Linked DNA regions of Rhinolophus ferrumequinum. Each later gene encodes a partner of the first gene's protein in a complex. Links are inferred from orthologs where the notes say so. Each region holds a gene or a part of one and is shown in the gene's direction. Other genes may lie near its edges. The genes, in order: CPLX1, SYT1 and VAMP2.

What was found.
Region 2: the proteins of CPLX1 (region 1) and SYT1 are in contact, whole or in part, in a crystal structure (PDB 5W5C), measured with the Rattus norvegicus proteins. The link is inferred for Rhinolophus ferrumequinum from reciprocal best matches to the Homo sapiens genes CPLX1 and SYT1. Residues at the interface, in NP_074055.1 of Rattus norvegicus: Val61, Met62, Gly65, Asp68, Lys69, Tyr70, Lys74; in NP_001028852.2 of Rattus norvegicus: Glu271, Thr383, Gly384, Glu386, Thr406, Leu407, Gln408, Glu412, Met416.
Region 3: the proteins of CPLX1 (region 1) and VAMP2 are in contact, whole or in part, in a crystal structure (PDB 1KIL), measured with the Rattus norvegicus proteins. The link is inferred for Rhinolophus ferrumequinum from reciprocal best matches to the Homo sapiens genes CPLX1 and VAMP2. Residues at the interface, in NP_074055.1 of Rattus norvegicus: Leu41, Arg48, Tyr52, Glu56, Arg59, Glu60, Met62, Arg63, Ile66, Arg67, Tyr70, Gly71, Ile72; in NP_036795.1 of Rattus norvegicus: Arg47, Val50, Asp51, Leu54, Asp57, Gln58, Ser61, Asp64, Asp65, Asp68, Ala69, Gln76.

What each region holds. Positions count from the first base shown.
Region 1 is NC_046288.1:87,805,687-87,812,918, forward strand, and holds the start of CPLX1 (complexin-1), read left to right. Parts: upstream 1-4,189; 5' UTR 4,190-4,349; intron 4,350-5,651; 5' UTR 5,652-5,724; coding exon 5,725-5,755; intron 5,756-7,232. UniProt on the Homo sapiens protein: Positively regulates a late step in exocytosis of various cytoplasmic vesicles, such as synaptic vesicles and other secretory vesicles.
Region 2 is NC_046293.1:72,725,917-72,733,611, forward strand, and holds the start of SYT1 (synaptotagmin-1), read left to right. Parts: upstream 1-4,669; 5' UTR 4,670-5,060; intron 5,061-7,695. UniProt on the Homo sapiens protein: Calcium sensor that participates in triggering neurotransmitter release at the synapse. May have a regulatory role in the membrane interactions during trafficking of synaptic vesicles at the active zone of the synapse.
Region 3 is NC_046304.1:10,826,890-10,834,297, forward strand, and holds the start of VAMP2 (vesicle-associated membrane protein 2), read left to right. Parts: upstream 1-4,408; 5' UTR 4,409-4,560; coding exon 4,561-4,562; intron 4,563-5,063; coding exon 5,064-5,184; intron 5,185-5,664; coding exon 5,665-5,823; intron 5,824-5,919; coding exon 5,920-5,971; intron 5,972-6,562; coding exon 6,563-6,579; 3' UTR 6,580-7,408. UniProt on the Homo sapiens protein: Involved in the targeting and/or fusion of transport vesicles to their target membrane. Major SNARE protein of synaptic vesicles which mediates fusion of synaptic vesicles to release neurotransmitters.

The sequences.
Region 1 (7,232 bases):
GGACTCTGCTCTCTTCCCCTTGGAGCACAGACAGGGCCTCACGGCCGCCCCAGCCCTCCTCAGGCCCCTTTGTGAGTACCTCGGAAAGTGGCACCTCTGGTCTGACGCTGTGCCCGCTGGGTGGCCCCTGTGCTGTGTGTAACAGGACTGTTTGGGCAATGACAAGAGACAGCGGGTGGGGGCTGGCCCAGCCAAGAGCCAGGGAGTGGAGGTATGTGCCAGGAGCAGGGAGGGGTGTGGGTCTCCCCGTGGGGTCTGGGTTCTGGGGCAGAGCAGGGGCACAAGTGGGGAGAGGAGCAGGGTGGGCAGAGGGGTCGGAGGCATCGTGTGCTCTGAGCCCAGATCCTGGACCGGCTCCTCGGGAAGAGGGGACCAAGGCCCCTCGTGTCTGCATCTTGAGAAGCAGCCTGGGGGCCTCGATGGAAAGGGACAGTGGGGCAGACAGTGCACTTCTGCACGTGAGCCTGACCAGGCACCGGACATCTCAGCATCCCCAGACCAGGCAAGGTCTGAGGGGGAGCTGAACATCCCCAGGACCACTGGGGTCTGGGCAGGGGGCGAGCCCGGCGTCAGGAGACCAGGCACTGCCCTGGCTCAGCTGCTTTTCTTTTCACACATTGTTACCTTTTCCCCCCCCCTTTCTTCTGCCCGCCCCCCACTCCGGTTCAAGCCTCTGTTTCTCAGTCTAGTTGTGTAGGACACAGCTCCCTGGCCCACGCTGGTGTTATGAGCCTTGCGCTTCCCCGGCTGAGGCAGTCGGTCACCAGTCGTTGGTCGGCCACTCACAGCAGCTCACGGCTGCTGGCCACTCACACTGGCCACTGGCCACTCATAGCAGCACACAGTAGCCCACAGCAGCACATGCCAACCTCTGGCTGGTCACAGCAGTCCAGGTCCAGGGAGAGCTGTTGTTCACAATCTTAGCTGTAGAGGGCGCAGCTCACTGGCCCATGTGGGAATTGAACTGGCGACTTCAGCACTAGGAGCTTGGTGCTCCAACCACTGAGCCACCGAGCCGGCCCACGTTGTTACCTTTTTAATAATAAAATCCAGCAGGAAACCCGTGGCAGTGCTGGGACAGAATTACTCAGTTTGTCAAGTTACTAAGTTTGCATTTGAAGTTTCTGGGTGAGCCTGACCCAAGGAGCCTGTGCCGCCTCTCAGCCCCCACGCCAGGATTGGAGAACAGTTCCCTGAAAGCACTCCCAGGGGGGTGCCCGGGGGCACAGGAGACAGATGGACAGCAGGCGTCAGCCAGGCCTCCCTGGCGGGAGCAGAAGGAGGCCCAGGAGCCGCTTCCAGAAAGGCAGGGTAGGAGCTGGAGCAGAGCGGCTGCCACCTCTCTCTGCCATCTGCTGTGGCGACTGGACTGCAGGGGCCTCAAACCCAGCACCATGCTTCTTTTGGCACAACCCTGCTTCGGGTCAGGGTGCCAGGCGGATTTCTGGAGGGCAGTGCTTTGAAGAGCGTGCAGGACGCTGAGCTGGCCAGGGTTGGCCGAGGCCCCAGATGCTGACGTCTTGGTGAGACACCCTCCCCCCTCACTCCAGCTCCCTGGCCATTTCCTTCCCCATCTGACTCTTTTCACCTCCTCTGCGCCCAGAACCGCCTTGAACAGTAGCCACAACCAGGTGCTTCCCCAGCCACCTCCTGGGTCTTCTGCCTGCTGAACGCGCCTCCCTTGGCTCAGCCTTTCTCAGCCCTTGGCTCAGCCTTTCTCAGCTGTTAACAAGTTTCCCACTAGTTCCCATGGGTCTTTACTGCTCGCTGCAGGTCTGGAGACTGTTCTCCAGGACACACACAGGGCCACGAGTTCCACCGGGTGTGGACCCGTGGCCCCGTGGGAGCAAGACACGAGGGCAGAGCTGCTCCTGGGCATTCTATGTACTCATTTCCTGCCCAGAGCTGGCACGGCCCACCAGTCCTGCTCACGCTCCATAGCTGCCTGGCCTCCCTCTCCCAGAGCACCAGTCACTCTGACCCAAGGTTGTCACCAACCTTGTCTATTTCCCCCTGGGTGGGAGGGTCTCAGGGCCTGAGCAAAAGTGAGAACTGAGGGCCCACTGTGTGTGGTGAGTGTAAGAGGAGCAACAACAGAGACAGAGAGATGGTGACCCTACAGGGAGAGGGAGACTAAGAAACGTGGAGGGTCCAGTGGCAGAGGGCCTCTGTCATCCGTGCCCAAGCCTATCCCTTGCCACACAGCGCCTGGCTTGGGTGCATGTGCAGCTCAGCCAGGCCCGAGGCTCTGGACTCAGTGGGGCCTGCTCTCCCCTGACACTGTGCGGGACATACCTGCCCAGCCTGGCCGCCCTAAGGTCAGTGGGGTGTCCCCGTGCAGGTGACTCTCGAGGGGAAGTAGGATCGTTGGTCATGGAGCCTGCTCTGGGGTCCTCTGTGGGGCTGCCGTCAGCATGTTACCTGTGGGTCACTCCCAGGTCACCTGGGGTGGGTGTGAAGGGAAGACGCTCCAGTGAGAAGTGACTTCTCACTTTCTTGGACCTACCTCTCTCCCCTGTCTACCCACTACCGGGTTCTGAGGACACCAGAAGGGCCGGACTGACCACACCCTGAGTGGGGCTCAGGCCAGACTCTCAAGATCCTCAGACATCTGGAAATGGGTGACCACTCCACAGAGCACCTGTCCCCAGACCTGCACAAGGCCTGAGGCTTTGACCCACCTCTCGTGAAGAATGAAACAGAAACGTGCTTCTCACATTCTCAGGGGTCAGCCAGGGTGGATCAGCACCAGGGCTCCCTGCACTCCTGGCGTGAGTTGTCTGTCCTGTCCCCAGGCCCACCCTTCTGAGCAGCACTCCCACCTTGCACCTCCTGGCCCAGATCTAGACGACAGGACATGTCAGCAGGAGGAATGGATAGTGCTGAGGCCACTTTCCACCGCCCTGGGATCCCTGGAGCCCACAGCTGTGTCCTGGAACGTGGGCCTCCCCAGGGCCACCACTCCCAGGGGCCATAGCAGCCCCCTGCGCTCCTCTCCATCCCTCATTCCTTGGCTGCTGAGGGCCCCTGCCAGGCCACTGGTTACAGGTAGGTCTGGAGAGGGTCAGCAAGGGTGGGACCTGGGAGCAGATGCGAGCCTACTGGGGAACCAGGCCGGTAAGAGCAGAGGTGGGCAGAGGAGCAGGAGGAGGGTCTCCCGGGACAGGGGAGGGGCAGGGGCAGATCCAGGAGCCACCGCTCCCACCCCAGGCCCAGGGAGCCAGTGACTCAGCTCTGCGGGGGCGGTGACAAGGTAATGCAGTGGTCACCAGGGGTGTCCACCCACCGACCAGGCAGCCGGCCCTGGTGGCTCTGAGACTCCTGGACTCAACGAAGCCGCGATCAGGGGCCGCAAAGCCGCGTCGGCCAACCCCCGGGAGGGGCGGCAGACAGGAGGTCTAGCCGCCGACCTTGCAGCGACCCGGCTGTCCCCGCAGTGCAGCTTCCGCCGCAGAGGCAGTCCCGGAGGCTCCGGGGTGGGGGAGGCGCGGCGGGGGCGGGGCTGCGAGGACAGCGGGGGCGGAGCGGCCTGTTCGGAGTGACCTTCACGCCCCCTACCCGCCGTGGGCCGCGGACTGTCCGCGGGGCGGGGTCAGTCTCTCTGCGACGGTTACACTGAAAAATAGGTCTGGGCCGGTCTGCTGGTCTCTCTCCGCCAGGGGGCGGGTGGGTTTTTAGGAGTAGGGGGCTTCCTTCTCCCGCCCAGAGATGCGCGGAGACGGGAGAGCGGCGGGGTCCAGGCCGTGGGCTCCGGGTTGCTCTGCCGGGTCGGGGAACCCTTCCACGTGCGAGCCCAGGCGGAGCTCCCCGCAGCCCCAGGCCCTCCCCGCGCCGGCCCGACGAGTAAAGGATTTCTTCCAGGGGGGTCGGGCGTGTCGGTCCCGCACGCGCTCACGAGGTTTCCTCCCGTCAGGAGAGGGGTGCAGGACCCCGTCTGGGAGAGAGGGCGGCCCCCACCCAGGTCCACACCGAGGATCTCGGTTCCGGGGCCACGGTATCTGGGATTCTGAACTGCTGAGCGGGTCACGGTCACGCGCACTGGCTCGGAGGACTCGCGCCCCGGGACCCCGGAATGCGTCCCGGGGCAGGGTTCAGGAGGGGAGACGGGGGTGCGGCTCCGGCGCTCCCGCCCCCGCCCCCCGCAGGCGCCCGCCGAGCCGCCTCGGCCCCGCCCTCCTCGTCACGCCTGGACGCAGGCGGGAGGCGGGGAGCGCTTCCGTGTGACGCGCCCTCCTCGCCGTGCCCTTCAGCCGCCGCCGCAGTTCCAGGGCGCCACATGGACCCGGCCGGCCCCAGCACGCTCCGCCGCTGACCGCCCGTCCGCTCGCCCTCATCCCGGCTCCGGGAAGGTAACCGGAGCCCCGCGCACACCCCGCTCCCCGGCCCCGCCGCTCCTCCCTGCCTGCTACCTCCGCGGCCGGGCTGGGCGCGCACTCGGCCCCGGCGGGCGCTGTCCGCTGGCGCGGTGCTGAAACGGCCCGCGCGGTCCCGGCCCGTGCCCTCCCTCTTCCTTGCTCGCTCTCCGAGTCTCCTGCCTCTCGTGTCTCCCCTTGCCCTCCCTCGTCCTCTGTCTCTTTCTTTCTCTTTCCTGGCGCGCTCCCGCCTGAGGGCCGCTCGGCAAAGCCGGGCAACTCGCCCGCCCGCAAAGCCGGAGTGCGGCAAGGCGGGACCCCCAGCCTGCCGCCCCTGGGGGAGCTCTAGCAGCACCCCGGCCTCTCTGCGGCTGGGCCCTGCGGTTCCCTCTCCCCCAGGGGCCAGGGGAGAAGTTTGGAAGAGAATCCGCTTTGCGGCAAAGGCACCCCTGCGCACCAGCGCTTTGCGGGAGGGGGCCACTCCCGCTGCCACCCCTCCCCAACCCGCACACACGCTGGTCTCCTTCGGAGGAAGGAGAGGAAAAACCACAAAACAGTGGATCTGCAGGGACCTGGGTTTCCCTGCCAGGAGAGACATCACGGGGGTGGGGGGGAATTGCAGGTTTTACAGGAAGCATCTCCCCACCAGAGTTCCAGCTGGCCTGGACCCAGGAGGTCCCACTCCTGGAGATGCAGGTGGAGGGGTGGTCTACCCCCCATTTCCATTTGTTCCCACAAGGCTGAGCCCCCTGCTGGTTCTCCCACACCCATCTCTGTGGTGGGCAGGTGGCAGTGGGTACTGATTCTCCCTGGGTAAAGCCTAGTCTCCCAACACTTCCAGCAGCAGCCACAGGGACCTCCCTGAAGGGGCACCCACTCAGGGCCCACTACCCTAACCCTGTTTCTCAGATTGACCCCACCCTCCATGGCCCAGGGCCCCCCAGGGAGGCAGCAGAGCCAGTCACCTTCAAACGCCCCTGGGGCCTGCCCCTGCTTCTCACAAGCTGGCTCTGCCAAGTGGTGAGCACCCCCCACCCTGCAATAGCAGCTGAAAGCTGGCTTCAGAAGCCCCAGGGGCCAGGTGAGACCCCTTTGCAGATCCAGCTGTAGTCCTGGGATCTGCCTGCCCTATTCAGGGAGTGGGGTGAAAGCTCCCCCCACAGGGACCCTATTAGGTGCCCCTTCCCAGTGCCAGGGTCCAGCAAATGACGCGCTCTCAGACTGCAGGCCCATGCTCGGGGAAGGGGGGCAGGAAGTGCAGCCAGTCGGGGCGGCCCGTGACCACCTCCTCTCCCCTAGGCAGAGGACTCAGCCGCACTTGCATGTGAGCTCGGACCCTCAGAGGAGCTGCTGAGGAATCAAAGCCATCGTCATGGAGTTCGTGATGAAACAGGCCCTGGGAGGTAGGAGGGGGGCCGCTGCACCGAGCTGGTCGCCAGGCAGGCACATGGGTCACCCTCAGCTGGCTGCACATATCTGGGCAGAGTGGGGCAGGGTTGGGATTGGCGGAATGTGCGCTGGAATGCTGTGGTCAGGGCAAGGCAGCAGGGCCCCACTCAGCCTCGGCCAGACAGCCCAGGGTGGGTTTCAGGGGCACTAACGTGGGACCGGTGGCACCCCAGGGTGGGCAGAGTCAGGGGGTGGCCGCAGCAGCAGGGTACGCAGGAGGCCGGGGCTGGCTGGGCACAGGGACACGAGACGCAGCCCCTCCGCAGAGAGGAGGGACCCTCTTTCATCCCAGCTGACTCCTGTTAGAAGGGAGTCCTGTGCCTACCTGGCTGAAGACCGTCATTGTGGCCAGACCCCCAGCCCAGGAGAGGCAGGTGGTGTAGGACGGTGGGCTGAGCCCGGGGGTGTGGGGGGTGGGGGAGGGTGGGCAGTAGGCCATTGGGCAGTGTCCCAGGCTGGGCGTGGCTCCCCCCACTGGCTGGCAGTGGGCCACACTGGCACAGATGCGTCACCCCAGGCCGTGCGTCCCAGCCCGAGCTCCTGTGACGGGAGCCTGCGGGCAGCGCCCCACATCGCCGTGAGTGATGGCTTCCTTGGACGGCCTCTGTGGCCACACCCTGATGTGGTGCCACTCACAGCCAGGCCTCAGTCAGGTGCTACGTGACAAGGACACCGTCTTGGTGGGTGCGAGGTCAGGAGGAACCGGGAGCTTTGGCCATAGGTGGGGGGCGTTGTGCCCCACTTGTGGGCTTGTGTCCTAGAGAATGGCTGCATTTCTGCTCAACACAAATGAAAAGAAAAGACATTTGGGCCTGGCCCGGGGGCCACATTCCCTGAGGTTTCCTGGTCAAGGATAGGCTGTAGGTTGAGTCTGATTATAATGATTACGTCACCGGGATGGGATTCAGGGGCCGGCAGCGTCCTGGCGGAGGGATCCATGCTCCACCCAGCCAGCCCCAGGCTGGTGCAGATAATTAATTAGGCAGCTAATTCAGGCCCTGAGGTGGGCTTGCAGGGAAACTGCAATATCTGATTTGGCTGTCTACACAGCTGAAATTAGCTGGGTAATTGCCAGTCTGCGCTCCCTTTGTTCCATGTCAGCCCAAGTTTCTCCTGTGGCAGGGACGATGCAGCGGGCTTCCTGAGGGTGTGGGAGCGAGGGGGAGACCCGTGGGGTGCCCCAGGCTGGGTGTTGCTCCCCCATTCACTGGCCTGGGGTTGGGGGCTGCGTCAGACCTCCGGGAGAGGCCTTCCTTCTGTCTTTGTGCTTCCTCTCTGTGGGCTCTCAGGACGCGCATGAGTGACAGGGAGACAGACAGAGGGACAGAGACAGAGCAAAGTGTCTAGAGATGGGTGAAGCCAGAGAAACGGGGTCTGAGTATGGAGTTGGAGAGAGAAGACACAGCCCAGAAACAGACCGAGAAAAAGACA
Region 2 (7,695 bases), on another chromosome or scaffold:
TCTATCTCTATGCCTTTCGGAAAGTGAATTAATCAATCTGGACCCACTTTTTTCCCCCACATAAATTGAATGAAGCAGTTGAACTATAATTCTCTACATGTTCAGTTAAATAGAAATCTTCCCTCTGATTTTAAAAGGAATTAATATAAAATTTAATGTTGTTCTTGCTTTATTAGCAAACTTGTTTTCACCACAGTATATTCCTTGTATGATAGAGTATTTGAAAGATATATCATTTGTTTTCTTTCTAAGACCTTTGGCTAACATTAGCTCAAACTACTTTTATTTTGCCCTTGAGATAGATTCACCTAAATAATATTTTCCTTGCTAACCTCAACTGCCTGACACAGTATATTACTTTTTGAGTCACTGTCCTCCTTTTCATTTCCAATATTTTCTTAGCCATAACTTTAAGAAAAGGCTTTTGTAAGCCACATTGAATACTGCTAGCTCTTATTTTCTTTTCTTGGGAAATTGTAAAGCATTGTAGTTCAATTATGGGGTTCTTACTCTCTGCCCTAGAGACTTGACTCCCATCTGTATTCATTTTCTTTTTTCTCTCTCTCAATTCTAGATTCCTTTATTTTTACACCGTGGGTGTTCAATTGAAAAATCCATGTGGTTAATTTCTTTTTATCTAATTCTGATTACAGAGAGCCCTGATGTGTTTTCCTTACGAGTTGGCTATAAAATGATTAGCAGTACTGCCAGGCCAAATGATCCCGAGAGAAAGAAATGGAAGGGAAACCAAAATGGATGGCTCCATCTTTTTTTTGCTAGAAAACAAAAAACATAGGTGTTCATGACTTTTTTACCTCTAGAATTAGAATTTTCTTAATTTTAAAAAGTAATAGAAACTTTCAATAAACAACAGTATTTAAATACAAATTCTCTAAAAATCAAATTATTCATGTCCTAGAAGATTATAGTCTAAGACCAAGACATGCAAAATAGGTGACTGTTGACATTTTATGTACAGACAAGTTCTTATAAACATGGATTAACTCTCTTCTACCTCAGTGATCATAGGTGAAGAGGATATTGTGACTATACCTCACTATAGGCTTAGATGGATTAGATGATAGGAGGAAATCCAATCTCCTAGGAATATGAAAAAGAGAAGCAGCAGTAGCAGCAGCAATGATAATGATAAAATAATAATAATGGTTAATATCATTAAGTCCTTGCTTTGTGCTTGGAACTAGCACTTATGCACAGCTTTACTTAATCTTTACCAAAAAACCTCAGAATATATTGTACTTGTTATTTTGTGCTTATTATAGAAGAGGAAACAGGCTTGGAGGGGGTCTTATACATTTTTCAAGATCACATAAACAATTAGTCTTGAAGCTGGAGTTCTATCCAAATTCTTGCCCCAGAAAACAAGCGTTTAATCAATCCTCTGTCTGTCCTGGAAAGAATAAAACAAAAAAGCCTGGATCTTGAAAGGCAATGCCAGAAAATGTACAGATGTAAAATAAAAAGAATAATAAGATATAAATCTATATAAACAATAGGTAAAATTTAGAAAAGTTTGTTATTTCTTTCACAACCCTAGGCAATGACACTTACAGAATAGATTTCACCAGAAAACTAGGGTGGTTATTAAAGATATAAAGTTTAATGATACATGAGAGTCTTGATTAAATGGAACTCTTTAGTACCACTGATTGATTGCCTAGGATATACAAGCTTTTCCACCAACATGGAGTATTTTCTTGGTACCTCTCATGTGTTCTTTCTGTAGTCTACAGAAAACATTGCCTAAGTTTGCACTTAATGAATTTCTTGTTTCTAGAGTCTCTAATTCCCACTCTTGCCATAAGACACACTTTTCTCCTCAGTGCCCCAATCCAATTTAGTTTCTATTCTGATCCTGTAGCCTAAAATAGATGGCAAAGGGAACATTAAAGTTGTAAATAGATGAATCCATTGAAAAGGAATAAAGAAAATGATGACAATGGGATCTCAATCAAAGCAAAACTGTGAAGGAAAGCTAACAAAAGTGGGGATTTTAGGCAAAAAAATGAGGAAACAAAACATTAAACAAAATAGATTAAATCAGTTCTAGAAATCACAAATAATTTTTAAAAAAATACACAACCAGGGAATCAGTTAAATCTCCATAGCATAGGACACAGAGATTCTAGATTAAAAAGTACCTGAGAAATGGGATAAAGAGAAAAAAGACAATTGACCTGATCTGTCTTTTAATTAAGATGGAGTCTGTTATAAAGGGAAAAAGACGATATATACTTTCTGCAACAGAAAAGTACCATATGTCAACCCAGCAGTATCACGTGGGGCTATCCAGCCCATTCCTTGAACTCGGGGAGCACACAGGAGAGAGAATAAAAATCTTAGTCTTGCAAAAACTAAAGTGTATCTACATCCACTGTGTAAGTAAAGTTTTAACAATTCATGAACAAAAATGTTATTCTAAAATTAATTGCAAGATACATGTAAACCCCATTCTTGTTATCCAGCAGTCTCCCTCAAGGAACTTTGGAATACAAGCATCTAACACAATCCCACTGTCTAGGATCCTGACCACTGAGGGAGAGTGATTGTCGGGTAGGCGGTGAAGATAGAAGGCAGGGAAATTGGCTAAAATACTGATGATAAGATAAGAGTGTGGAAACAGAGATAACTAATCTGGATTCATATTCTACTTACTCATGTTTTCTAAAATAAGTTTATTTGTTTCTACATGTAGCTACTGGGTGCAGCTATTAAAAGATGCAGTTTTTAATTATTGGAATCTAGGGAGTGTGCTAGAAGTATATTTAGACTAAAGATGTCTATTAGGTGGACATTATACTAATCCTCTCATACAAAGACATTTACTAGAAAACAATATTACAGAGGTAGTTGATTCTTCTTTTTCTCCTTTTCCTCCCTTCCTCCTTTTTCTTCATCAAGTACTTGAAATTGATTTTAAACTAATGTCTATTATCTCCTTTCTCCAACTATGAAACTAGTCTAAAATAAGATAAGAAAATGGAAGATCCATATTTACATAAAGTTACTATTTTTTTCAAATACACAATTATTTGTCATAAAGGAATTCGTTTATATCAAGGTTGTCATCTTTTTCTCTGTACTGAGAATAAGGATTTAATCTTAAACATTACATAAATAGGAGAGGTTTAATTAAAACTTGAAGAAATGTGTTACTGTTAATTGAATTCTTGCTACAGTTACCTTTGCAAACCAGTGTTAATGAAACTCCCAGTTCATAGTGGAGGATTTGGGGAATTGAGATAGCTATTTATTTCCTTACCTGAGATGCCATGATAATCTTCTCAGTAAAATAAAAGAACCCAATTAGGGAGGTTCTCAGTTGTAGCTATTGATCAACTGTACACAAACTGCTAGGATTTTTCTAAGCAAAACAAATCAGAGGTTCAAAGACCATCAGATAAGGTCAGTGAGAGGGAAAGGGAAATATTTCTTTGCGTTTTTAAAAGCCTTCTCACCTGTGGAGCAGAGAATGGACTTGCTCCTACCTGGAGCTTGGGTCTGTTCCCGCCCCTCGCCTTGCTCTTTGTCCCTTCCCCCACTCGCTGAACCTCCCAGTTTGGTATCTGTCCGTATTACCAAGCTATAAACTGCCTTAGAGCTTAGAGACCAATCAGGTCAGCACAGCTCTCAGAAGAGAAAAGCTTCTTACTTTCCGAGCAGAACCAGTTAGGGTAAAGAGAGGAAGGAGGGAGGGAACCCACGCTTTAGTCGTCACTGTGCTGGCAAAGGGTGGAGAGAGATGTGGGAGGAGGCTGGCAGAAACAGTCCCCAACAACGTCGTACTTGACCCAAGTCTCCAAACTTATTGGTCACTGCAGTGGAAACTCCAGTGTACGCTCCCCGGCCTCGCAGCTTCGGCCTGCTGGGTGGAGTCGCGCTCGCCGGCCCCAACTGTGAGCACGAGCTTCCTCAGCGTCTCTGGTCCCACAGTACCCTTCGCGATCAGTCTCCGGGCATCAAGCAACGCTCAGGTTATTCTCCTCCGGCCTTCCACACCCCCGAACCCCGACCAAATAATATCATGAACCTCCAGTAGCCCCGAGGGCCCCCTCCCGGTGGCTCCGTTTGTGGGCACTCGTGCGGAATCCTTTCATACCCCCAGTCCTGCTCTGCTTTCACAACTCTGTCGGGTCAAAGGACCCAAGACAAAACTTCTGCCTCTCCTTCCCCTTTCCCACCTTTTCAAAACCCCACAGCTTGCGAACCCACACACATCGGAACTCCTAGGGCACTGTTTGCAGTCTGGGCATGCTCAGTATCAGGGCAGTTTTGATTGAAAGTTAAAAAAAAGAAGAAAAAAGCTTTGTATTATGCTGTCTCCTCCCGTGCATAGGGCTTCCCGAACAGGTTTCGGGGCATCCCTGCTCCTACCCCAAAGGGTATATCGGATGCCCTGATTGCGTCCTCCTTGGGCTCTGTCCCCCTCCTGTTCACTCCCCTCCCGTTAGCCCTCCCCCAACCCCCTCTTCAGGTCCCTGTCCGCTGTGGGGATGGAGAGACACTACCAGAACTGGGAAGGGCGATCTTGGCTGAGCGGATCCACCTATTATTAGTGCGCCTGGATTGGCTCCTCGGCAGAGCGTACCGGAGGTGGAACCAATCAGGTGGCCGGGGCTGGGAGATGATGGGCGGCCGCCTCCTCACTGGAGGGGATTCCTGGAGAAGCTGCAGTGTGGGGATGCTCTAGACCGAGTGCTGCCCCCAGTGTCTTTCCACTTCCTCCTGCAGCGGCGGCAGCAGCACTACTTAGCAGAGACAGCAACTTGAGGCTGCACCGGGCAAACCCCCCAGGGTGGTCCTCAGCGGAGAGGGGGGCTCAGCGCCCCGAAGGGGTGTGTGTAGGGTGGGGGCGGCCAGCTGGGACCAGCTGGTGGCCCTGGAAAACCTCCCACACACCCACACCCACACACCCCTTTTGTGTTACAGGCTGCCCCTCCAAGAACACAGGCAGCGAGCAGACGTGTGTGCCTTGCACGGGTCCGCCGGGGAAAGCAGTGGGGACAGAGACCAGCACCTCCTCCTAGTCTTCCCTCCAGGTAAGACCGCGGGACTGGCGGCGGGGCCACCTAGGTGGTGCCTATTTGTTTGAATCTGTCTGCAAGATTGTGTTCTCGGTACACATGGGTTTTGGTGGTGGGAGACTGAGACCTGGGGAGGGAGCCCCGGGTGGCCTATTGTGAGAAATATAATGAGACCACATGTGCATCTCCTGGAAAAGCACTTTGCACAGTGCCGGTGATTTAGAGCCTGGAGTTGATGGTGGGCATCCCCCATCTTCTTGCTCCGTCTTTCTTTCCCTCGTTCTCCCTCCTTTATCCCCCACTCCAGTCTCAATCTCTCACCTCCCTCCACACCTTCCTCAATCTCTTTCATCTCCACCCTTCTCCCATCCTAAGCACGCACAGGGTTTCTTGCTCCTCCTGGAGAGGATTGCCTTTCCTCAGAGGAAAGAAAGGGGTGGTGAAGGAAGAAAGAATTCTTTTTGCCCGGGGGAGAAGAAAAACAAGATAGAATACAACCGCTGTGAAAATTAGAGTACAGAAAGCAGTTGAACCCAAAGAAGCAAGTAGATAAGCCATCCAGCCTGGGCTGTCAGAGAGGGGAAGCATCAAGTTTGACTTCATCTCCTTGCAAGAGGCTATGTCTCTCGCTCGATTCGTTCCAATGGAACAAAAATAAACCACTGATCCAACCCACATTCAACTGCTTAACTGCTGTTGTTTTTAAGTGTCAACCATCTGACTTTCCCTGTGTCCATCTGTCCTGTGGGGCTGACTATTTGGTATTGACCTTCATTGGTAATATCTGAACTTTGAGGTGTTTCTCGAGTAAAGAAAAAAATTAAAAACAGATTATTACTTTCCTGAGGTTCTCTGGTATGGCCTTGTGTTGGGGGGGCAAAAAAAAAGTGAAATGTAAAGTTTCAAACATTTGTAAGTGACACCAGGATTATGAGGAGGCTTGGATTTCTACTTTAAGAAAGCTAATTTAGTTAGCTTTGTGGACATGTTGATTTTCACTTTCTGTAATATTAACCCCTTGGTGAAATACAGCAACCATTTAACTTTTGTGCTAAAGCTACTTTTGTGTACACATTGTCATTTCATTCTATCTATCTACTATCTATTTGCCATTTTATTGCCCTGGATATCAAATTCACGTCTTGCCTTATTTTCTGTTAATAAGAATATTTAATAGATTGAAACTGTATAAACATCATGTTTACATGCTTTATTTAGAAGGCATATGGAAGCTCAGTTAGCCAATAATTCTCTTGTACTGGAACAAAGTTTTAGAAAGTCATGGTAGGAAGATAACCTCAAATTTTAAAAATCTTAAAGGGGAAATGTTTTTGTTCTCAAGAAAGAGAAAGATAGCAAAACAACTATGTACCCTGACTGACTGTATAATAGGTCAAGTACAAATACTTGTGGGACAGAGGCTTGACGGCAGCTGCAAGCAATTTCCAATTCCATCATCAATGATATAAGCTTTCCTTTCCTATTATGCATCAGAGGTATCTAAGTGATTACTGTCAGATGGGAGGAAGTAGAGAGAAGTGCCTAGTTGAATCTAATGGGGAAGCAATTCCAAGTGGGTCCTACATGAGTGTAGGGAAGCTGGAAGATGCTAGTATGTCCAGATAAATTCTTTCCTTGATTTACCAGGGGAAATGCCAAACTCTTACATTTTTTTCTAACCTGTCCACTTGGGATAAGAAAAGGGAATCTTCTTTCTCAACTCTTCCTAGTCTTCCTCAACTAATCTATGCACGCCAGAAAGTATTTTTTCACCATAATCCTAGCACATCAGTTTTATACACCAACTTAGAGAAGAGCTAGTTTCATTTACCATCAATGTAATGAATATTATTTTCTCAACCATTTTCCATTTGATGCACTTATTTCTTTCTAAGTAGAATTACCGAGAGTCACAAAAAGCAAGATCTTTCTAGAGCTTTGACATTTAATGTTCTTTCTTTTTTCCTTTTAATGTAGTATCTCTGTTGACAGCTAACTCTAATTTTTAGAGGTGCCACCTTTTCATTCCAAGGACAAAAGGACAATTGCTTAATTGCCTCATGTGTATACAACTGAATTAACAAGTTTAGACATGAAAAGATGTACAAAAAGGAAATCAAGTGTGTTCCATGTGAACAAAATAAGATTTTGTTTGCGTATTTCTCCACTGTCTTAGGAACGTAAAAGTTTAGGCTTCTTGGTTTGTGACATTTATTTTCATGACTCTTTACAAATGTTAATACAGCAATGACATGTAAAAGATATGTATGTATTTAGTTTTTCACCTACTTCTGAAAAATTAAGTCTGTATATATACTAGAAGTCAGAACTAATTCCAATAGTCCCAATAGTGAGTGGCTTGAGGAGAGACTTATTACTGTCATCACATAGAATGTTCTGGTATAAACAATTTCATACAATCTTCATGTTTTATCCATTTAAAAGCATAGCTTTGTAAATCTTATTAATGTTACAGGACAAATATGGCAATTAGACTTAACATATTTTTTATCAGAAGTAAAGGTTGCTAAAATACAGGACAAGTCCTAACATACTAATTCCATGAAATACTACATAATGGAGAGTTGTTGCAGAGTAGTTTTAAAACTCCATTTCATAATGGAGAGTATTAGTTATTTCTCTGGTCAAA
Region 3 (7,408 bases), on another chromosome or scaffold:
ATTCATAGGATTGAGGGTTGATTGATCATGGCAGGTATTTACAACCTCCCTAAGAGCACTGTTGTAATAGCAAAGAACAAACAGCAAAACTGGAAACAGCCTAAAATGCTGGTCCTTGAGAGACTAGGTAAATAAACTGTGGTAAGACTTCTTTTTAAACATGGAAGATTGGCCATGAGCATTTGTCTTCTCTTCTTTCCAAATGTTAACTAAGTAACAGGAGAAGAGTCAAGTATAAATCAATAAGTACCAAGAGACCAAGAGAGAAGACAGCTGCAGACCAAAGGTTTCAACAAGGCTTTGGAGGCTGGGCAGCAGCCAAAGTATGGTGACAAACCAAGTAGGGCAGAAGGAATCAGGAGGACATGGTGCCCGAAACCCTGTGGGTCTCCAGACCCTGGGTCCAACCTGGCTGAATGCAGGGGTGGCTGAGAGTCTGTGTTCAGTGTTAAGGCCCCTGCGGCTCCCTCACCTTTTACACCCGAGTCACACATACCACCCTTCCCTCCACATGCTCATTTCCAAGGACGCTTTGAATTTGGGGACACTAGGCCCAGCAGAGGTGAGAACGGAGGCTAGAAACAGGAGCCCCCACCCTGTTTCAGATCCACTCCCCCATCAAGGGCAGGGGATGGAGAATGGAGGATATTGTTCTCAAAAATCTGAATGGCCCCAGAGAAAGCCTGCCACCGAATCAACACTTGAGAGAGTCCCCCTGAAAAGCAAAGCTGATATGATAGCCAATGAATGCTCCTTCTGCCCCCCACAGCTTTCAATCATCCTTTTGGTGGCTCCCTATTAAATATGAACAAAGTATCAGCCAGCATTTGAGGAAAGTCTCTAAAATGAAAGAGAGACACTCCCATATACAGCATCACAAAAAAGAAAACAACAAAAAAGAGCCAATCAAAGAAATCTGGAAGAAACAAATACTAGGGAGCAAAAGTTAAAACAAACAAACAAAACCAATCATTGGAAAGTAAAACAAACAGAAGGGACAACTCAATACATATAGTCTGTTAGCATTTGTATTTTTAAAAAGGAAAAAAGAATCTACAAGTATGGTGTTTCCCGAAAATAAGACCCATCTGAAAAATAAACCCTAGCAGATTTTTCAGGATGACATCCCCTGAACATAAGCCCTAATGCGTCTTTTGGGGCACAAGTTAATATAAGACCAAGTCTTATTTTGGGGGAAACACGGTATTTACAAGACTGGAGATAGCAAATGTGTCAGGTATGGGTCCTGAGCAGCTCAGAACCAGGGTTCACTGTACATTCCTTTGTACCTTCTGAATTTTGATCGTGTTACCTATTACCTAGTTTAAAATTTAATACTGGATTTAAAAAATATCCTCAGAGAGATGACAGAAGATACTGCATTTTTTTGAAATGAAAAAAATAAAATAAATATAACAAAACTTTTTTTTTTTCCAAAAAGGAGGATATATGAAACTGTCCAGAAAGTAAAACAAAAAGATAAGTGAGTTGGGGGGGTCACCAAGGGAACCTCAGCTTTATGTGTAATGTTTTAATATTTTGCAAGGAGAATGTAGTCATATTATTTAAGGTAAAAACTGAGCATATGTGGCAATCCCTGTGAAGCCTCTCGCACACAGTAGGTCTCTGGCAGTTTCTCTTCCCTCCATGATGAGCCCAGGGCTTTCTGCAGCCCCAGAGCCTTCCTGACTAGAGGGCTCCGCCAGAGGTTACAGGGTTTGAGCAGGTGACTGTCATGGCAGTGAGGCCAGCCCCTCGGTCCCCATTCCAGGCCGCATTCTCGAGGGCACGCCTCTTCTGTTTCTAATTAGAAGGCTTTGATTTACAAGTTGCATTAAGGGACACACAAGGTCTCTGAAATTATAATTACCAGTTTGGTCATGCTTAACTCATGTGCATGGAGCAAGTTCCCATGAGTCAAAGTGTGGAAACGACCTAGGCCCCTTCTATCCCAACTTTTCAGTCAGTTGTGTTAGAAGAGGGGAAAAAAAAAAAAACCTTTATAAAAGATTTTCTCTGTGCCACCTACATCAGAATCACCAGAGTAAGTACTTGTTACTCACTTGTTAGATGTGTACTTAGGCCCCCTCCCACATCCTTTAAGCCTTGGGAGTGGGGGCCAGAGATTCAGCTAACAAACCCCTGAAGCAGGTAAATGTAGAAGCCAGATCTCATTTATGCAAATATATTACCTTATTTTTCTTTAGTTCGAGTTACCCCTATTTGGCTCTCCATTCTACCTGCTTGCAGAAAACATTCTCTTATTTATTTCCAAGTGAGCTCAGTCATCCCACCCCTCCCCCTTCTCCTGCCTCCACCATTGATCTAAATTTGGGGAGTTCCTTCACCCCAAAGCACATGTTTGTGGGGGCCAGGATGAACTGCTCAGAGTCCTCTCTCTGAGATAAATCCTCATGGTCCCTGCCTCCGTGGATCACACTTTGCTGCGGCTGCCCCCAGCCTCCTGGAGTGATAGCAATGTGCCAGCTTTCCAAGCCACACCCCATGGCCTTGGCTACCCAACTTTACTCCGGATTCTGTCCCTTCCATGTCCTGGATTTGGCCATCTGGGGAAATGGGGATCACTCCTAAAGCAGTGTCTAACGTCTTGTCCTCCACTAGCTTCTCCACAGCTAGTGCAGGGTCTTTGGTCAGAGTAGGGAGGCTCTGCCTGTTTGTACCTCTGTCTAATCTTCCCTGTCCCAGACACTGATACTGCGGCTTTTGAACTTAAAAGCTAGAATTTGGTATTTTTGTTCTCTGGCTAGAGAGTAGCGTAGTTTCAGGGCCTGAAAGCCAGAGCCAGTGCCCCACGCTGTGATCTGAGGCCCTCATGGAAGCCACTCTGTTCCTCCTTTTCACATAGGCTGAGCCACCAGACATTCTGTATTAGTGAGTGCACAAGGACCAGTGAAGTGGCCGCTCCTAAGAGAAGGAGGGAGCTGACAGCATCTTATCTTAGACCCAGCACACATGCTCCCTGCTCACTCACCTCCCCCAGACAGCTGGGAAATGACACCTCTGGTGACACAAGCAGTCCCCAGGCTTCTGTTGGGAGGGAGTGGGGCGCTGCAAGGGGGAAGTTCTCACCCCTGGGAAGCTGGCTCCTGTTTGTCTCAGAAGTCAACACCAGCCTCCCCTCCTCCCCTTCAAGGATACAGTGAGCCCCCCCACTAGTGCTCCTAAGATGTCTCCTTCATTCTTTGAGACTTGACTTCACCCACGCCACCGGTTAGGCAGCTTACCTGGTCCTGTCTTCTCCTCGCTGCAGTGTCAGAGCTGCTGGGAATGAGCCCGGTGGGCATGTCCAGATGCTGGGTCTGTTTAGGAGGCCTAAAGCAAGATCAGTGAGGGATGAAAGGGGCCGTGGCTAAACTCCTCCACCATGTTCCAGATCAATCCATATAAGAAATGTATATTTAGAGCCCGTACAGCTAATGTATTTTGGGTCCAGAGACAGGACAGGAACTGTCCAAGGTCACACCTATGAAGCCAATCAGCATGTAAAGTAGTACCATGTAACCTGGATACTGCATGCACCCCCCCTTGCCTACTGTTCTTTCCAACTTAAAAAAAAAAAAAAAAAAAAAAACCCAAAACAAAACAAACAAATAAAAAACTGTCCCTTTGGGCCTAGGCCCTGCGCCTGGGGAAAAAAGGCTGAGCCCTCCTCCTGAGGCCGGGCTAACAATGGGCCAGAGCTAGGTTTTGGCCAGTTTGCAGCCATCGTGTGAAGTAGCCCCAGGAAGCAGCCTCAGAGTCCTCCTCCCTGGGGCCCTAAGCTTGCCCTACCTCAGTCGGGCCTGGCTTGCCAAGTAGCCCTGGTCTGAACTCCAGTTGTGAAGTGGAGCACCTTTCACACCCGCAGTGATTTGGCTGGGGTGTGGGGGAAGAGCCTGCCTCATCTCCTTTCCTTTATACCCCCCTATTCAGCGGCCGGGGGGGGGGGGGGGTCTCAGACCTCCTTCGAGACATCCACCTGCGGGGTGATGGATTGGTTCCCAACTGCCGTCACTCCACTCCACCTCGGCAGCAGGGTCCCAGCTATTCGCATTGTTTCGGGATCGACACCTGCCTTTTCTGATTTTCCACCTCCAGCCCACGCCAAGGGCTGAAGGCGGGTTACCAGGCGTTGGGAGTTGGGTGAAGGGTGAAACCTTGAGCTGTGTAGAGTGCAGACTGAATGAAGTTTCACTATAGGAGGGAGGACGTGGTTTGGGGGTGAGAGGTGCCGTGGGGTGCGAGTGGCAGAGGCGTGGGGATGGCTGTGCGGGCTCTGGTCTAGCAGGGTGGGAAAGCAGCGGGCGCACGGAAGCCGCAGGAGTCAGGCTGCGGAAGGTGCAGAGGCTCAGCGGGCACGCCCCGCGGCCTGCCGCGCCCCGCCCCCACGGCCCGGCTCGTACCAGTCGCCACTGCGCCCCGCCCCCGCCCCCGCCCGCAGTGCCCGGATGTGGGTGACGTGCAGCCGCCATCTTCCCGTCCCCGGTAGCCAGCGCCAGTCGGAGCCAGCGCGAGCCGCCATTCTTGCAGCTGCCAAGTCCTGCACCCGCTGCCCCCGCCATGTGAGTCGGTCGCCCTTGCCCGCCTCGGGCTGGCCTGCGCCCGGCTGCCGCCCTGGGGCCGGGGCCCGGGGTTCGGCCCGCGTCCCTCGCTCCCCGAGGCCAGGCCGGCGCCCGTGACTGCGCGCGGGCAGCGGGAGAGCCCCGCCACCCGGGCTGGCCGCGCGGGCGGTGGCCGCCGGAGGAAGTGGACCCGGCGTCCGCCCGCCCCGCCCCTGTCATCGCTGCCGCCGGTCATTTCGGGTCGACCCTGGACCAAGTCTGTGAGGTCGCCCTCATTTGACAGGCGGGGAAACTGAGGCCTGGAGGGGGGAAGGGGCCCCACTCAAGGTCATGCAGCTCTTCGGCGGCGGGGCCAGACGGAATCCAGGGCTCCCATCGGCTGGCTTCCCTCTCGAAAAGGAGGAAGGGAGGGACGGTTGGATGGACAGGCGGATGGGCGGAGTCCTGGCTGCGGGGCCGAAGGCTCCAGGCCCTGGGTCTGAATCCGTCCCTGCCCCTCAGGTCGGCTACCGCTGCCACCGCCCCCCCTGCCGCCCCGGCTGGGGAGGGAGGCCCTCCTGGGCCCCCTCCAAACCTCACCAGTAATAGAAGACTGCAGCAGACCCAGGCCCAGGTGGATGAGGTGAGTGGAGTGGGCTGGGGGGATCCAAAGACGGTGGGAAGGGCACTGAGGGTTGGCAAACCAGTGTTGGGGGGTCCATCTTGGGCTGGGGGTGATGGTAGTTCACGTTTATGAGGTTTGGGACAAAGACATACCATGCCCCATCCCTGTAAGCATGCACTTGTAAGGGCCTTGGAGTGTTAGCTTGCTAGTCCTAGGGTGTTTCAGCCTGGGCAGGTGTGCTCTGGTGACGGGCAGGCTACTTGAAACTGGATAAATAGAGGGTGCTGCTATGACATCTGAGATGTCTGGCTATCAGCATGCCCCTGATGTGTACTTCTTGCATGTCCCCAGGTGTGCTAGGCTTGTTCTGTGTGTGTCCTTGGCATGTTAGCCTGGCGACATCGGGGTGCATGTTCCATATGTGGGCATGGTGGTCGAGGAGTGCCCTCATTGAGGCGGGCCTTGGCATACCCCCTGCCTCGTGGACCCCTCCTCCAGGTGGTGGACATCATGAGGGTGAACGTGGACAAGGTCCTGGAGCGGGACCAGAAACTGTCAGAACTGGACGACCGTGCAGATGCACTCCAGGCGGGGGCCTCCCAGTTTGAAACAAGTGCAGCCAAGCTCAAGCGCAAATACTGGTGGAAAAACCTCAAGGTAATGGTGGAGGCACGTGGGAGGGCAGATAGGAGGACTGGTGGGTGAATGGGGAGTTTGTGGTCGGTCCCCTGACCCCTCTCCTGTCACCCACAGATGATGATCATCTTGGGAGTGATTTGCGCCATCATCCTCATCATCATCATCGGTGAGTAGGGCAGGAATGGCTGGGGCCCTTTCTTTGGAGAGGTTTCCCTATGAGTTCGGGGTTCTGAAGGTCATTAACCTAGTTTTTACTATTCATCAAAAAGCATATATAGCTGCCAGTGGCAGTTCTGATTCATCTAGAGCTCCACACCTTGATTTTGTTCAGCCTGCATTTTGCCTGGTTCTGGGCAATTCTGTTTCGATTTTTGGAAACGAGAGCTAGTGGATCCCCACTACTCCCTTGAGGACTCTTTGGGCCTGAGAACCCTGAAATTGGGGAGTGGGAGAACAGGAAAGGCCCATAGGCTTGATATATGACTAGGAAGCCAACCACCGAATTATTTAAGAGCTTGTGGTCTCAGAGGCCCAGAGGATTTGGGGTCTGTGGCCCTAAGGCCATACCATGGGGTTGAAGAGACCTTGGAACCTCCTGTCCAACCCCTTTGCTTTACAGGGGAGAACCCAAGGCCCAGAGGGGAAGGGATGTCAGTCAGCTGGGGAGTGGGGAGGATGGGAGCAGGGCCAGGCCTGACACACTGCTTTCTCTCTCTTTCTCCCCTCTCCCCCTTCATCCTTCTTTCCCGCTCTACAGTTTACTTCAGCTCTTAAACCCCCGAGGAGCCTGCCCTGCCCAGAGAAGGGCCTCTCCCCCCCATTCCCAGCTGCTCCTCCACCTCTCAGCCATATCTTCCAGCCCCCCATCCGTGTGTGTCTGTGTGTGTGCCCCCCTGTAAATAGCCAGCTGTTATTTATACATATATAATATTATATATATTTGGTCTGTTTGTAGTTTTATTACTAGAAGATTTTTCCGGTTGTCCTTAACACCCCTTCCTGAGGTTCCCGTCCTTCCTCTTTCCCTCCTTCCCGTTCCCTCTTTTCCTTACCAGCCCCAAGTCCCTTCATTTGCATCTGCTATGCAATAGTCCCTCTTCCTCCCTTCTTTCCTTGGACTTAGCTGACCCTTCCTTCCACCCTGGCCTTCCCCATACCCGCACCCCCCCTACAAACAAGACAAAAAGCAATTGTCCAGGCCTCCCTAGGTGCATCGTCTGTGCATCATTTGGGAGGCTCTGAGACTGGCCCCACTTGGTCCTATGAATCCCAAGGTCTGGGAGTTTCCAGCATGTTAACTAGCATTCATTTGCACACTGACATCCCTTTTGGTTTCCTTCTTTTTTGTTCCATCACTCTTTGTTTTTTCAACCCGTCTGTTTTTTGTTTTGTTTTGTTTTGTTTTTTTTTTACTGAGGAGTTAGTCCCCATTGGTCACACTTTCATTTGCATGACATTACTTGTAGGTGGTGGGGAGCCTGGGCTTTTGGGGAACCAGGCTGCTCTGGCCCCCAGAATCATCCCCTCCTAGCCCCGCTAGTCTAGTTTGCCTCCCCTACCCCCATTTTCCAAGCCTCTTGTCCCCTCCTCTCCCTCCCTCCAG